3 linked regions of the Drosophila melanogaster genome follow. The gene in region 2 interacts genetically with the main gene of each other region. Each region holds a gene or a part of one and is shown on either strand. Other genes may lie near its edges.

Region 1 (3,753 bases), 7.5 Mb from region 2:
TCAGCTCGATGGCCTCTTTTATATCGGGCTTATCCAGTCGCCAGAGCTTCAGTGAGTGATCCATTCCACTGGACATGATGCGATCACCGCGCAAATCAAAGTCCACAGACAACACTTCGTCGCGGTGTCCTTCTACGCCGCCGAAAACCGCCACACACACGTCCGACTGAATGTTCCAAAGGCGCAGGGAGTGATCCTTGCTGCCGGACAGAAGTAACTGCGGTCTAGTCGGATGAAACTTCAGCTCGTTAATGGCGTGCCCGTGACCAATGTAGTTTTTGCTGCACTGGTGCTTAACCGGATTGAATATGCGAATGACGCCGCGGTAACCAGCCGCGGCAAGCACAGGATCGCCGGTCACAGAGTCGTAGGACCAAGCGCATGTGTAGAAACTTTCATCGGTCTAACGAGGGCGTAACGATGATGTATGTAAGTAATAGCATATGATGAGTACTTACATCTGGGTCTGCGTAGACTTGCAGCAGTCGAATGCCTTCGCAGGACTCCTGTCCGGTGCTCCTCTCGCACTCATAAATGGAAACCCGATCCTTGCCAACGGTGGCGAACACCTGCGGCTGGCCTCTGTCCAGGAACGGATTGAACTGCACTCCGAAGATCTGATGGTTGTGGTCCTCGCGGACATGGGAGCTGCAATGCATCCGGGATATAAACATTATGACTTATGTTCTGCCTGGAAAAATCACACCTATATTTGTACAAGGGCTGAACCATTTTGGGTGCCTTGATCCGCCGACACAGGCGGTTCAATTTTCGTGTATTTGGCGATTTGCTTCTGGTGGTGGTCGTAGTAGTGCTGAACAAACTGGCGGTGTCCTCCCGATCCACGGAATTAACTTCGTGCTCATCATCCGGCTCCACAACATTGCAGACACTCGAGGAATTATTGCTCAGCACTGCCTCCGCTGGAGAGTGGTCAGTGGATTCGTCCTCTGCCGGTGGCTCTTCGCTCGGAGGAGATATTTCACTGGGATTCGTTTCGGTCATATCTGTTTTATTCCGGCAAACTTAAAAGCTTCTTTTGTTTACAAATTGTTTATCCCTAGAGTGACCGTCTGCAAATACTGCAGTGCAAAACAGTGTTGCCATTCTAGAGCGAAAAGACCTAAACGAACAACCCTGTTTAAATCACAATTATAATGTATTTAAAAATCTAATTTACATAATACTAGTTTGCTTAAATCTACTTCTTGGCGGCGAGCAGCTCGTCCAGGTGCGCCTCCACCTCCTTATGTGCCTTGACGCTATGTTCGGTGCGAGAGGCGGCCTCGTGGACGAAAAATCCGCGCAGTAGTTCTGCTTTTGTTTGAACAAGTTGCGCCTGCGCCTGTTGCAATTTTAGTTCGTTTGCCAACTGCGGCCCCAATTTCAATTCGGCGGTCTCCTTGAGAAGCGTGCACTTACGAGTGAGAAGCGCAACCAATTTCTCCAGACCGCTGCGATGCTCCTCCTCCAGGCGCAGAATCTCCTTTTGGTCGCAGCTTAAGTCCGCCTCCTGGCCAAAGGCGTCCGGGAACTCCTCGCGTATCCTGTCGCACAATTCGGCAATGGGTTGCAGAGTTGTGCGTAATTGAGCGGACAATTTGGTACGCACCGTCTTGCGATCCGTGTAATTCAAGGGCGGAAAACTGCTGCCGCTCGGTAGACCTGTTAGATTTCCAATGGTTATTCACTGCTTTTGGAATAAACTTGTAACGCGCCTACCAAGCACCTGCTCCTGACCAGCTCCCTCCATCTCGCCGAGTCGCGCATAACTTCCAATGGAAACCAATTTGAGGGCTCTTTTGATTTCATCACTCGGATTTGGGCCCACATCCAGGCGTCTTAGCTCGTCCAGCACTAGCTTCAGCTTGAGCACCTTCTTCAGCTCCGCATCGCGAGCCAGCCGCAAATCTTCCGAGTGTTCGGGCAAGAGCGTGGCGGATGGATCATCCATTTAGGTGGTAAAATGCTTAAATTGACCCGAAATTGATTGTTTGATTCGAATGGGCAAGCGCATGGCTGCGATACGGCAACGCTACTGAGCAACAGTGTGACCGGTAGCTACTAACGATAATATATTTTACTTATATTTTATAATGGTCACCCCAAGATTATTATTTAAAGCGCGCTAGAGAAACGAGCTAAATTCAAAAATGTTGATTACCCAAATAATTATGAAACAAATTCGAGACTATCCCATTGTGTCCACAATAAGCATTGCCGTCAGCACTGTCCTGGCCTCAGAGGTGATTTGGAAGCTGGTGCAGTGCTCGCGCAGCAAGCGAGAGAAGGCAAGCCGCGTGCACGAAGTGATCATCTTCAATGAACTGGGCGAGATCTGTGCGGCGGTGCATATGCGCAACAGCAGCATGGGATCCCAGAAACCACAAGTGTCGCCCTGCTGCAACACGCATTGTTCGCTGCGGAATGTGGCCAAGATCGTAGAGCAGATCGATCGGGCTGTATACTCCATTGACCTGGCCATATACACCTTCACCTCGCTTTTTTTGGCGGATTCAATAAAGCGGGCCCTGCAGCGCGGCGTGATTATCCGGATCATCAGCGACGGGGAGATGGTCTACTCCAAAGGTTCTCAGATCAGTATGCTGGCACAATTGGGAGTTCCAGTTCGCGTCCCCATTACCACGAACTTGATGCACAACAAATTCTGCATAATCGACGGCTTCGAGCGCGTCGAGGAGATTCGTCTGCTGAGGAAGCTCAAGTTTATGCGTCCGTGCTATAGCATCGTGATCAGCGGCTCCGTAAACTGGACGGCTCTTGGACTGGGAGGCAATTGGGAGAACTGCATTATCACAGCTGACGACAAACTCACAGCCACGTTTCAGGCGGAATTCCAACGAATGTGGCGGGCTTTTGCGAAGACCGAGGGGAGCCAAATCCAGCTCAAGTAGAAATCAATTGATTTAATGTATGACTACCAAACAGTTCCTCAGTATGCCAAATAATTATAGTTCTTATTTTCTAAGTGCCTTCAATTAAACTAAAACTTTTTAAGGCAGCTTGATCTTCACACACAAAGGAGTGCCAAATTAATTAAGCAAAACAAAAGTAATCAAAATGTATACCTAACAGTATAATCCGTATGAAATCTTTATCACTTCGATTGAGTTGACTAATTTTCAACGTGCATTTAGTTATGATCAGCTTTGACTATATATATAACTTTCTACTTTATTCATCATGTTATTGAAAGCTTTTAAGTAAATAAAAGTTAATTACAAAAAAGATTACATGTATGTATGTACAAAACATTCCGAAATATAACTGCTACAGATTTCTTTACTCTTATATAGTTTCTAAACCAAACCAACTTATCAACTATTTGTCCTGTTGCTTCAGCTTATCAGCGCGGCGCATAAATGACTCCTTTAGGCCGTTGAGTCGTTCGATTTCTGCCAGAATCTCATAATATTCCAGATAGGATACACCCGATTTCAGTAATATTTCTTGTTTTAAAGTGAGCACGCGGGCGACTTCCTTTTGCTTGCGATGCAAAGCGTTCAGTTTGAGCGAAACGGACGACTCCTTGGGCGCCTTGGACTTCTTGTCGTTCTTTGATTTCTTGGACTTCTACGGGGATCAAAATGAAATAAGTTTTAGGTCGCAAATAATTTGTTTACGTACTTTAATTTCCATTGTTTATGTGGAGATCTCCGCGTGTTAAGTTGTTATTAAGTTCGTGGTGAATGGCAAAACAAAAAATAAGAAGAAGAGTAGGCGGTGTAAGTT
Region 2 (3,753 bases):
TAACATCTAGCCAATCCAGCAGAGCCCGTCTCAATTGCATTACTCCTTTGCAGATTCCAAATCGCCCACAAGCCCATCTACATCAATTTGGTGCGCAAACCGCTCGACAGACTTGTCTCCTACTATTACTTTCTACGCTTTGGCGACAACTACCGACCGAATTTAGTCCGCAAGAAGGCGGGCAATAAAATTGTAGGTAGAGCATCAAGGTATTAACCTCCCTGTAACCAAAGCCCTCACACATCTTTGCAGACCTTCGATGAGTGCGTGGTGCAGAAACAACCCGACTGTGATCCCAAAAACATGTGGCTGCAGATACCCTTCTTCTGTGGCCATGCAGCCGAGTGCTGGGAACCCGGCAGCAGTTGGGCCTTGGACCAGGCCAAGCGCAATCTAGTCAACGAATACTTCCTAGTCGGAGTCACAGAGCAGATGTACGAGTTTGTGGATCTGCTCGAGAGATCCCTTCCAAGGTGTGCCTCCCAACCATATGTTATTGTCTGTTTTAGAATACTCCAGTTGCTTCATTGACCTGTTCTTTTTTTTTCTTTTGCAGAATTTTTCACGGCTTTCGTGAGCACTATCATAATTCAAACAAATCTCATCTGCGGGTGACATCTTCCAAGCTTCCGCCCAGCGAATCGACAATTAAATCCATTCAAAAGACAAAAATCTGGCAAATGGAAAACGATCTGTACGATTTCGCGCTGGCCCAATTCGAGTTCAACAAGAAGAAGCTCATGCAGCCGGACAACAAGCACGTGCAGAAATTCATGTACGAGAAGATTCGGCCCAAATGATTGCAGAGGAGGCGACGGAGTCGCAGAGCGAGGATTCGGCCGACTCCAGTGATCTAACCAGGAGTCTCCGACAATTGTATTGTAAATACGTAATTCTCCTTCGCATAGATTTGATCTGTACTTAAGAGTAACTCATCCGTACACTTAAGCGCTACCTAAGACTTTAGCATTGAATATCGTTGACATATTACTAACCCAAACCTTTTGTACGTAGTCTAAGCTTTAAACGTATAAAACAGGCGAGAACGCTTTTGTAGTTCATCGTAAGCAATATCTAGCAACAATTGTCTGCACAATATCTCTATATGATTAGTCAAATGTACGTTTTATACTCGACAATACAACGGAATGAATGGATGAATTGAATCGATATGCATACGTAGAACTAGAAATAGGTGTAAATTCATATGTAATCGACTCTCATTGTTTGTAACTCTCATAGGCTAGGCCATAAATCTGAATTTGACATTCAAATTAAATGCATGTAAATACCTAATAGATAATGGAGTGTCTGTCCGTCTGTCTGTCTGTATGTCCATGTGAAGCGCGCTGTGCGTATCAACAGCTGTCGCTGGGATTGCGTGTTCGTAAATTGATTAATGCCATCAGTGGGTTACTTTTAACTTTCAGCGTTCTGTACTTCGACTTAGCTAATTGCACTTGGCTGCCCAACGAAATTCCGCCGGACTTTAAAGGCTGACGTAGCTCCGTGCTCGAAGGTGATCGTCTGACTGGAGGACGGAATGACCGAATGGCTAAATGGCGGAATGGCGGTCCGACACGCAGAATGGGCTCAGGCAAGCGCAAGAAATGGCATGGAAATACATTTGGAAACGGCGAGCAGTGAAATACTTAATTAATTGCTCGTGCTTGAAACTAAAAGCAAATGAGCTCGAATTACCCACAGCCCCCGTCAGTCAGTTGATCACTTGATCGTGGAACGCGGACACGCCAGTCGAAAGAAGGTACATTAGCTAGTGTCCGGCAGAAAAGCAGAAAGTTACTGTTGTGTCGAACGGGAGGAGTGATAGCCAAAGCAATAACTTACACACTTACGATCCGTAAGAGGGATTACAAACTCGTTTTTCACTCAGTCACAGTGGCGAAGGCGATTAGTCTTTAAACTACTCGTGTACGGAGCGTTCAAAAGTTCAAGTCTAATTGCATCCAAGTCGCGTAACCATCAGAAGATTAACCACGATACACTGTGCGAAACGCTCAGAACACGCACTTAATATAAATATATATACATATATAAAGCTGTGCCGCGATTGCGAAAGTGCCCCGATGCTATATAGCTAACTTAAAAATTTCGTATTTTGCGACGAGAAATGAAAATATTCCTTCGTTTACATTCTAGAACAAATATAGGAAGTGGACTTTTCGCAAGTGGCAGATGAGAATTTCTCGAAAGTGCTAAACAGTACAAGTTACAAAGTGTATATAGTTACAAAATATAGCAAAGTGGATTTCCTGATAGAAAGTACGGATTTTTTCAATAATAATAATAATAACTATATTGTTTTAAGTCAAGAACATTTCTAAAAGTGCACACAAAGTGAAGAAAGTTCTTGAATTTTGTAGTACTCACTTACTTTCAGTGTACCTTCTGCAACATTATATTTAATAATGTTAATTGCTGTGGAAAATCGATTGAGTGCGCTGCACCGTGAGAAATACCGCACTTGTCTTGGCACTTTAACGTACTAAAAACAATGGAAATAACATAAAATTAATGCTGAGCTCAGTGAACCATTTTCAGGTGAACTTATGCAAAACAAGCCAAAAAAAAAAAAGAAGATCCCATGCGGCGATTCGCGACGTGATCTTTAGAGCTCTTAACTCGAATCGGTCGCTTATAATGACCTATTAAGTCGCGCTGGCCTTACGAGTGCCCGACTATTCCGACCGACCTATGTATATATCTTGATAACTATAACTTTGTCGTACAATACATATGTGCAATGCACGCAGTGCATAAAAGGGGCGGCTATAAAACGATTTGACAAGCAGCTTTGTATTTTCAGTCTTCAAACGCGACCCAAGCTCACTAGGTACATATATCGGAGTCGAACGGGAGTTCCGAAGGATTTCCACTGTACCAGCCAACTATTTGTGGATTAGCCGATTTTCAATTCAAACAAGGTGAGTAATTGGATCTCATATATACATTTGTATATATATATACATATAGAGTGCTTTTCTTTTTAAGAGTGCATTTCTGAGTGTGTAGCGCTAGGGACCATAAAAATATCTTAGCCAGATCACCATCACTATCACTATGTAGCTACGCTCAGCCCTTATTTACGAGGCATCACTGTCTGTCCGTGTTTTTTGCATTGCCTTTTGCTCATTACTGTTGCATGCATTCCCCCCTTTCGCACTCGTCGCTCGAGAATTTCAGACAAAGTTCAGTAACTCGCCGACGACATTGACCCATTTAGCCACCGCCGATGCTCCCGACTCGATCAGCCTGAATAAAGAAATATTAATTTATTTACATACGCTAGCATTTGCATGTGCATACCGGTTTAGTTAGTTGTAAAGTAACTTGTGTGTGTATTCATTCGATCTGCATCGCCATGACCATGCTGACCACTGCATCTGCGATGAGGTGCCTGCCCTCTGAATTCCCACTTGGTGAGCAATAGCGAAATCTGCCGAACCCCATTTTTTATCGTATATTTATTGCAAGTACTATATGCATTTTCTTAGAATTATCTCCCTCAAATAGAATTATTTTCTATATACGTACGTATGTATTTATATAAGGCGCGTGGCTACAGTTGCTCGAAAAACTATACACCAGTTTGTTAAAAACTTATATACAGTTGTGCTGGTAATTGAAAGTCACGATTAGTTCGAGAAAGAGTATTTAAAAGGTATTCAAAATATAAATAATTTAAAAAAAACAACACTTTTTGCAATGCCTTTTGATATGCCATCTAAATTG
Region 3 (3,753 bases), on a different chromosome or scaffold from region 2:
CGGCGTCTTAATCTTTTTGCTGCTGGTTGACGCCTTCGCCGGCAAGTTTTCCTTCTGCTCCTGCTTATCTACATTCTCGGCTTCCTTGTCGGCATTATCCTGCGGCGGCGTCTTGTTCTTTTTGCTGCTGGTTGACGCCTTCGCCGGCAAGTTTTCCTTCTGCTCCTGCTTATCTACATTCTCGGCTTCCTTGTCGACATTATCCTGCGGCGGGGTCTTGTCCTTTTTACTGATGCTGCTGCTGCCAGACACCTTCACTGGAACATTCTCCTTCTGGTCCTGTTTGTCCGCTTTGACCAAAAAGATTGCGTGCTGACCACCGCCAGATGCGAGCAGCATGTGCTTCCCCTGCGTGTTCTTGCTGACAACCACGATCGGTTCGAGCTCATCATCGCCGTCGCCAACGCCTAGTTGATTGTTGACACCGGAGCCCCAGGAATACAGTTTGCCATCAATTGTAACGGCATAGGAACAGACTTCGCCACATCCAACGGACACAATCTTTTCGGTCAGCTTCTTTACAATCGTTGGCTTCTCCACAACATCCTTGACATCGCCCAGACCAAGCCGACCGTACTCCGGACGACCCACTACGGAACACTTAAGGTCCGTTGTCAGGATGACAGTATGGTGCTGACCGCCGGCAATATGTCGGATATCTTTGAGTTCCGTCTTGATGGGCGTCAGTGCGAACTCCTTGCCCTTTGTCTCGTGGGCCAGCTGCTTGAAGTTGTTAAGCCCTGTGGCCCAGATGACCTGTGTCTGTGACTCGCGCATGAATGTGCAGTAGTTGGTGGCCCAGATGGCCTCAAAAGGTTTGGCCCGCGTGATGATGAGCTGGGTGGGCCGCAGCAAGTCGCGTTTGCCACGACGACCTGGGGGTTAACATTTTTTTAATACGAATTTCGTTGAAAATTTGAATGCCAAGACTTACCCTCTCCGGAGATGGAACGCTCCGACAGCCGGCCGAGTTGTCCCTGCTCAGCGCAGCCCACGGTAAAGACCTTTCCGGCAGTGGTCAGGATGACCAAATGATCGGCGCCGGACGCGATGCTACAACAGACAGTGCCCTCCATCAGATCGATGGGCGTACGCTTGTTACCATCGATGGTGAGGCCCATGTTGCCATGAGAGTCCCGGAACGAGCCCCAAGCGAAGACACGGCCATCCTCCAGCAGACAAGCGGAATGCGAGTCTCCCGCCGAAATGCACAGAGCCTTGCCGGGCAAATCGATAAGATCCGGCTTTGACTCGCTGCCATCCTCGCTGGTGTCACGGCCTAGAGCACCTTCGTCATTGCAACCGAATGAGTAAATGTCCCCTGACTTGGTCAGCACCAGGTTGTGCATGCCACCGGCGGATATGTCCACGGCATCCGGGATGCCCGCCACAGGGCTGAGACGCTTGCGCTCCAGTATGTCCTCGCCGAGACCAAGTTGGCCCACATCGCCGTTGCCGCAGACTAGCACGTTGCCGAGCACGGTCCTCCGCTTGGGCAGCTCCAGATGAAAAGCGATTCTGGCGCGCTTCGCCTTCGGTGGCTGCTGCTCCGCTTCGCCGGCATTGTTGTTATTAGTCAGGGCCTTTCTGCGCGGCATTTTAGCTTGTATTTTCACAATTTTTTGTCACCGAAACTGGAAATAGTGCGTTTGTGTGTGTGTGTAAGAAATATATATAAGGTTAGGGACGCCGGTGATGCAGCTTAGTTCTGCTCACACTCACAATGGAAATAATGCCGGTCTCTGGTTCAGCGGGAGTTCCACGTTGTCTAGATGGTGTTGCTACGGCGGTTTGGAGGCGAGTGAAAACACCAAATGCAAGCGAATCCCAATGCGACCTACCTGGGTCGAAGAAAATGCGCGGGAAGCGGCGGCAGCTGGCCTTCAGGGTACAGTGTTGCGGGCTTGGCGAATTCCCCGCCGCATCTGGCTATTAGCGAGGTCACACTCCAATTTCAGGGTCGCTTCTGCGCCTATTGACCAATTGTTAGTACATCTTTGTTATCTTTGCACTGTTCCTAATTGCAAATAATAAAACAAAGCCTGCTATAACCCACAGTTTATTTATTTCGAGATATTGATAACTTTTAGAATGGAGCGTAGCGTGAACTCAAACTATGACAGTTGGTTAACAGTTCTCTAGCGAGTTTGCGAGCCGATTGCCGACCGATTCTATCGAAAGAGCTATCGATAATGTGCGGGAAATTTAAACTTTCCTTACCCACTCACATTATTTCAAAACAAATTTGTTGTTAAATATTATAAAATGTTCTACCTTTAAGCCAATGCTTCATTTTCAACGTGATTGTATGTATATTGCATGCTATAGATCAGAAAATAAACAATACTATTTGAAAAGGTTTTCCATTAACTTTATTACAAAATACATAGAGTTACAATATAATTGGTTATTCATTTACTTCCCATATAAGTCTATCTAGCCACTGCACCGCAAAGTGAGTGCATCAAATACAAAAAGAATCCACTTTGCCCATTCCGCATCCGCACTCCAAATCCCGGCAGCCGACCCTCGATTTCCCTACCCAAACATTAACATTTAATCCGACTGCCCCCATTCAGATATGTATAGTACGTCTGTCTGATGCATCTGCCACTCAGCACTAGCCGTACAAAACGAGCAGAATTGATAAAAACGCGAAAAATAATAATCACTTGATGTCTGTTTGCGTATACATATTGCATGTTTTTGCCATTTTTTAATCAGTTTCGCAAAAATGATTTGAGCGTATTCCCTATATTTGTGTATGCAAACACGCCCCTGCGAAACCACAGCCATCGCAGCCGCCCACGTAGCTGATTTTATTATCAATTTTAATAAAAAATGTTTGTGCACTTTTTGCAGCACCTGTCGGACAGGTGGGCCTTTGCCGGCCCGAGTACACATGGACATGGACCCTATTTATTGGTAGCCACGTCAACCGTCGTCAGCACAGCCAATTACGCAAATTAAACAGATTGTTATCCTGTCGCGACAGAGGACACAGGACGCAGGACAATGTGACAAGCTGGGCAGCTTAATTCAATCAACGTGACATAATTACTTAATTAATTAAGAGCGCCCAGCGGTCACACATTCAAATCGGCCATCATTTTGCGAAAGTCGTTCAGCGAGCCATACATCTCGAAGTCCGCTCCCCCGTTTCCGGTTCCGCCTGCGTAGGCGCCCTGCGATCGTTGCGATCGGGTACTAGGTGGGCGTGGCAGGGTCAGCGGCACGGGCAACAGTTCCGGCATCACCGAGTGGTGCGTGATCAGCGCCTTCAGCGAACTGAACTCCTTGGTGAAGCCCTAAAATGGTAAATACCATCATAATATATAATAAATATTATATATAATGTGCTCGGACTTACCTTTATCTTGTAGCCCCTTTGCGTCCGCAGGATCAGATAGTGGGCCACTCGTGGTGAAGGTGGTGGCACTCGCAGCGAGAGGGCGAAACATCCCGGCTTTGTGCTGCTCTGGCGCACTAGAAACGCACCTGGACTCTGTCGGGACAGGGCCTCCAGGGATATTTCCCTGGGAATGCCCGCTTGAAACCAGGCGGCTCCCTTAAGCTCCTGCTGCTCGGCTAGGCTGAGATTATCCAGGCGCAGGGCACTGTGGCCGGGAAACAATTTCGGACTGGAGTTGGCTGATAATTACACGGAAGTAAGGTAACCTTAGCCAACCATTTCATATCTGTGACATAAGAGTCTACCTACCGCTGCACGTCTCTCTCAGATACTTTTTGCTG

The links.
Region 1: of RanGAP (region 2) and zuc, changing one enhances a phenotype caused by changing the other (phenotypic enhancement), as found in Drosophila melanogaster (one study listed by BioGRID).
Region 3: of RanGAP (region 2) and Rcc1, changing one suppresses a phenotype caused by changing the other (phenotypic suppression), as found in Drosophila melanogaster (2 studies listed by BioGRID).

The regions. Positions count from the first base shown.
Region 1 is NT_033779.5:11,988,225-11,991,977, reverse strand, and holds zuc (zucchini), read left to right. Parts: upstream 1-2,095; 5' UTR 2,096-2,153; coding exon 2,154-2,915; 3' UTR 2,916-3,243; downstream 3,244-3,753. Other genes in the region: escl, read right to left, coding at 1-403, 459-648, 707-1,005; dgt2 (dim gamma-tubulin 2), read right to left, coding at 1,202-1,665, 1,723-1,954; CG34163 (uncharacterized protein), read right to left, coding at 3,343-3,594, 3,649-3,660. UniProt on the Drosophila melanogaster protein: Cardiolipin hydrolase present at the mitochondrial outer membrane required for piRNA metabolic process.
Region 2 is NT_033779.5:19,440,351-19,444,103, reverse strand, and holds the start of RanGAP (Ran GTPase activating protein), read right to left. Parts: upstream 2,146-3,753; 5' UTR 1,849-2,145; intron 1,766-1,848; exon of another isoform or gene 1,377-1,765; intron 1,272-1,376; exon of another isoform or gene 801-1,271; coding exon of another isoform or gene 557-800; intron 474-556; coding exon of another isoform or gene 253-473; intron 193-252; coding exon of another isoform or gene 54-192; intron 1-53. Other genes in the region: Hs2st (heparan sulfate 2-O-sulfotransferase), read left to right, coding at 54-192, 253-473, 557-800; CG10237 (uncharacterized protein), read left to right, coding at 3,383-3,440. UniProt on the Drosophila melanogaster protein: GTPase activator for the nuclear Ras-related regulatory protein Ran, converting it to the putatively inactive GDP-bound state. Trans-acting factor necessary for meiotic distortion.
Region 3 is NT_037436.4:5,930,684-5,934,436, forward strand, and holds the start of Rcc1 (regulator of chromosome condensation 1), read right to left. Parts: upstream 2,091-3,753; 5' UTR 1,723-2,090; intron 1,635-1,722; 5' UTR 1,599-1,634; coding exon 935-1,598; intron 876-934; coding exon 1-875. Other genes in the region: Egfrap (EGFR adaptor protein), read right to left, coding at 3,087-3,308, 3,371-3,651, 3,722-3,753. UniProt on the Drosophila melanogaster protein: Promotes the exchange of Ran-bound GDP by GTP. Involved in the regulation of onset of chromosome condensation in the S phase. Binds to chromatin.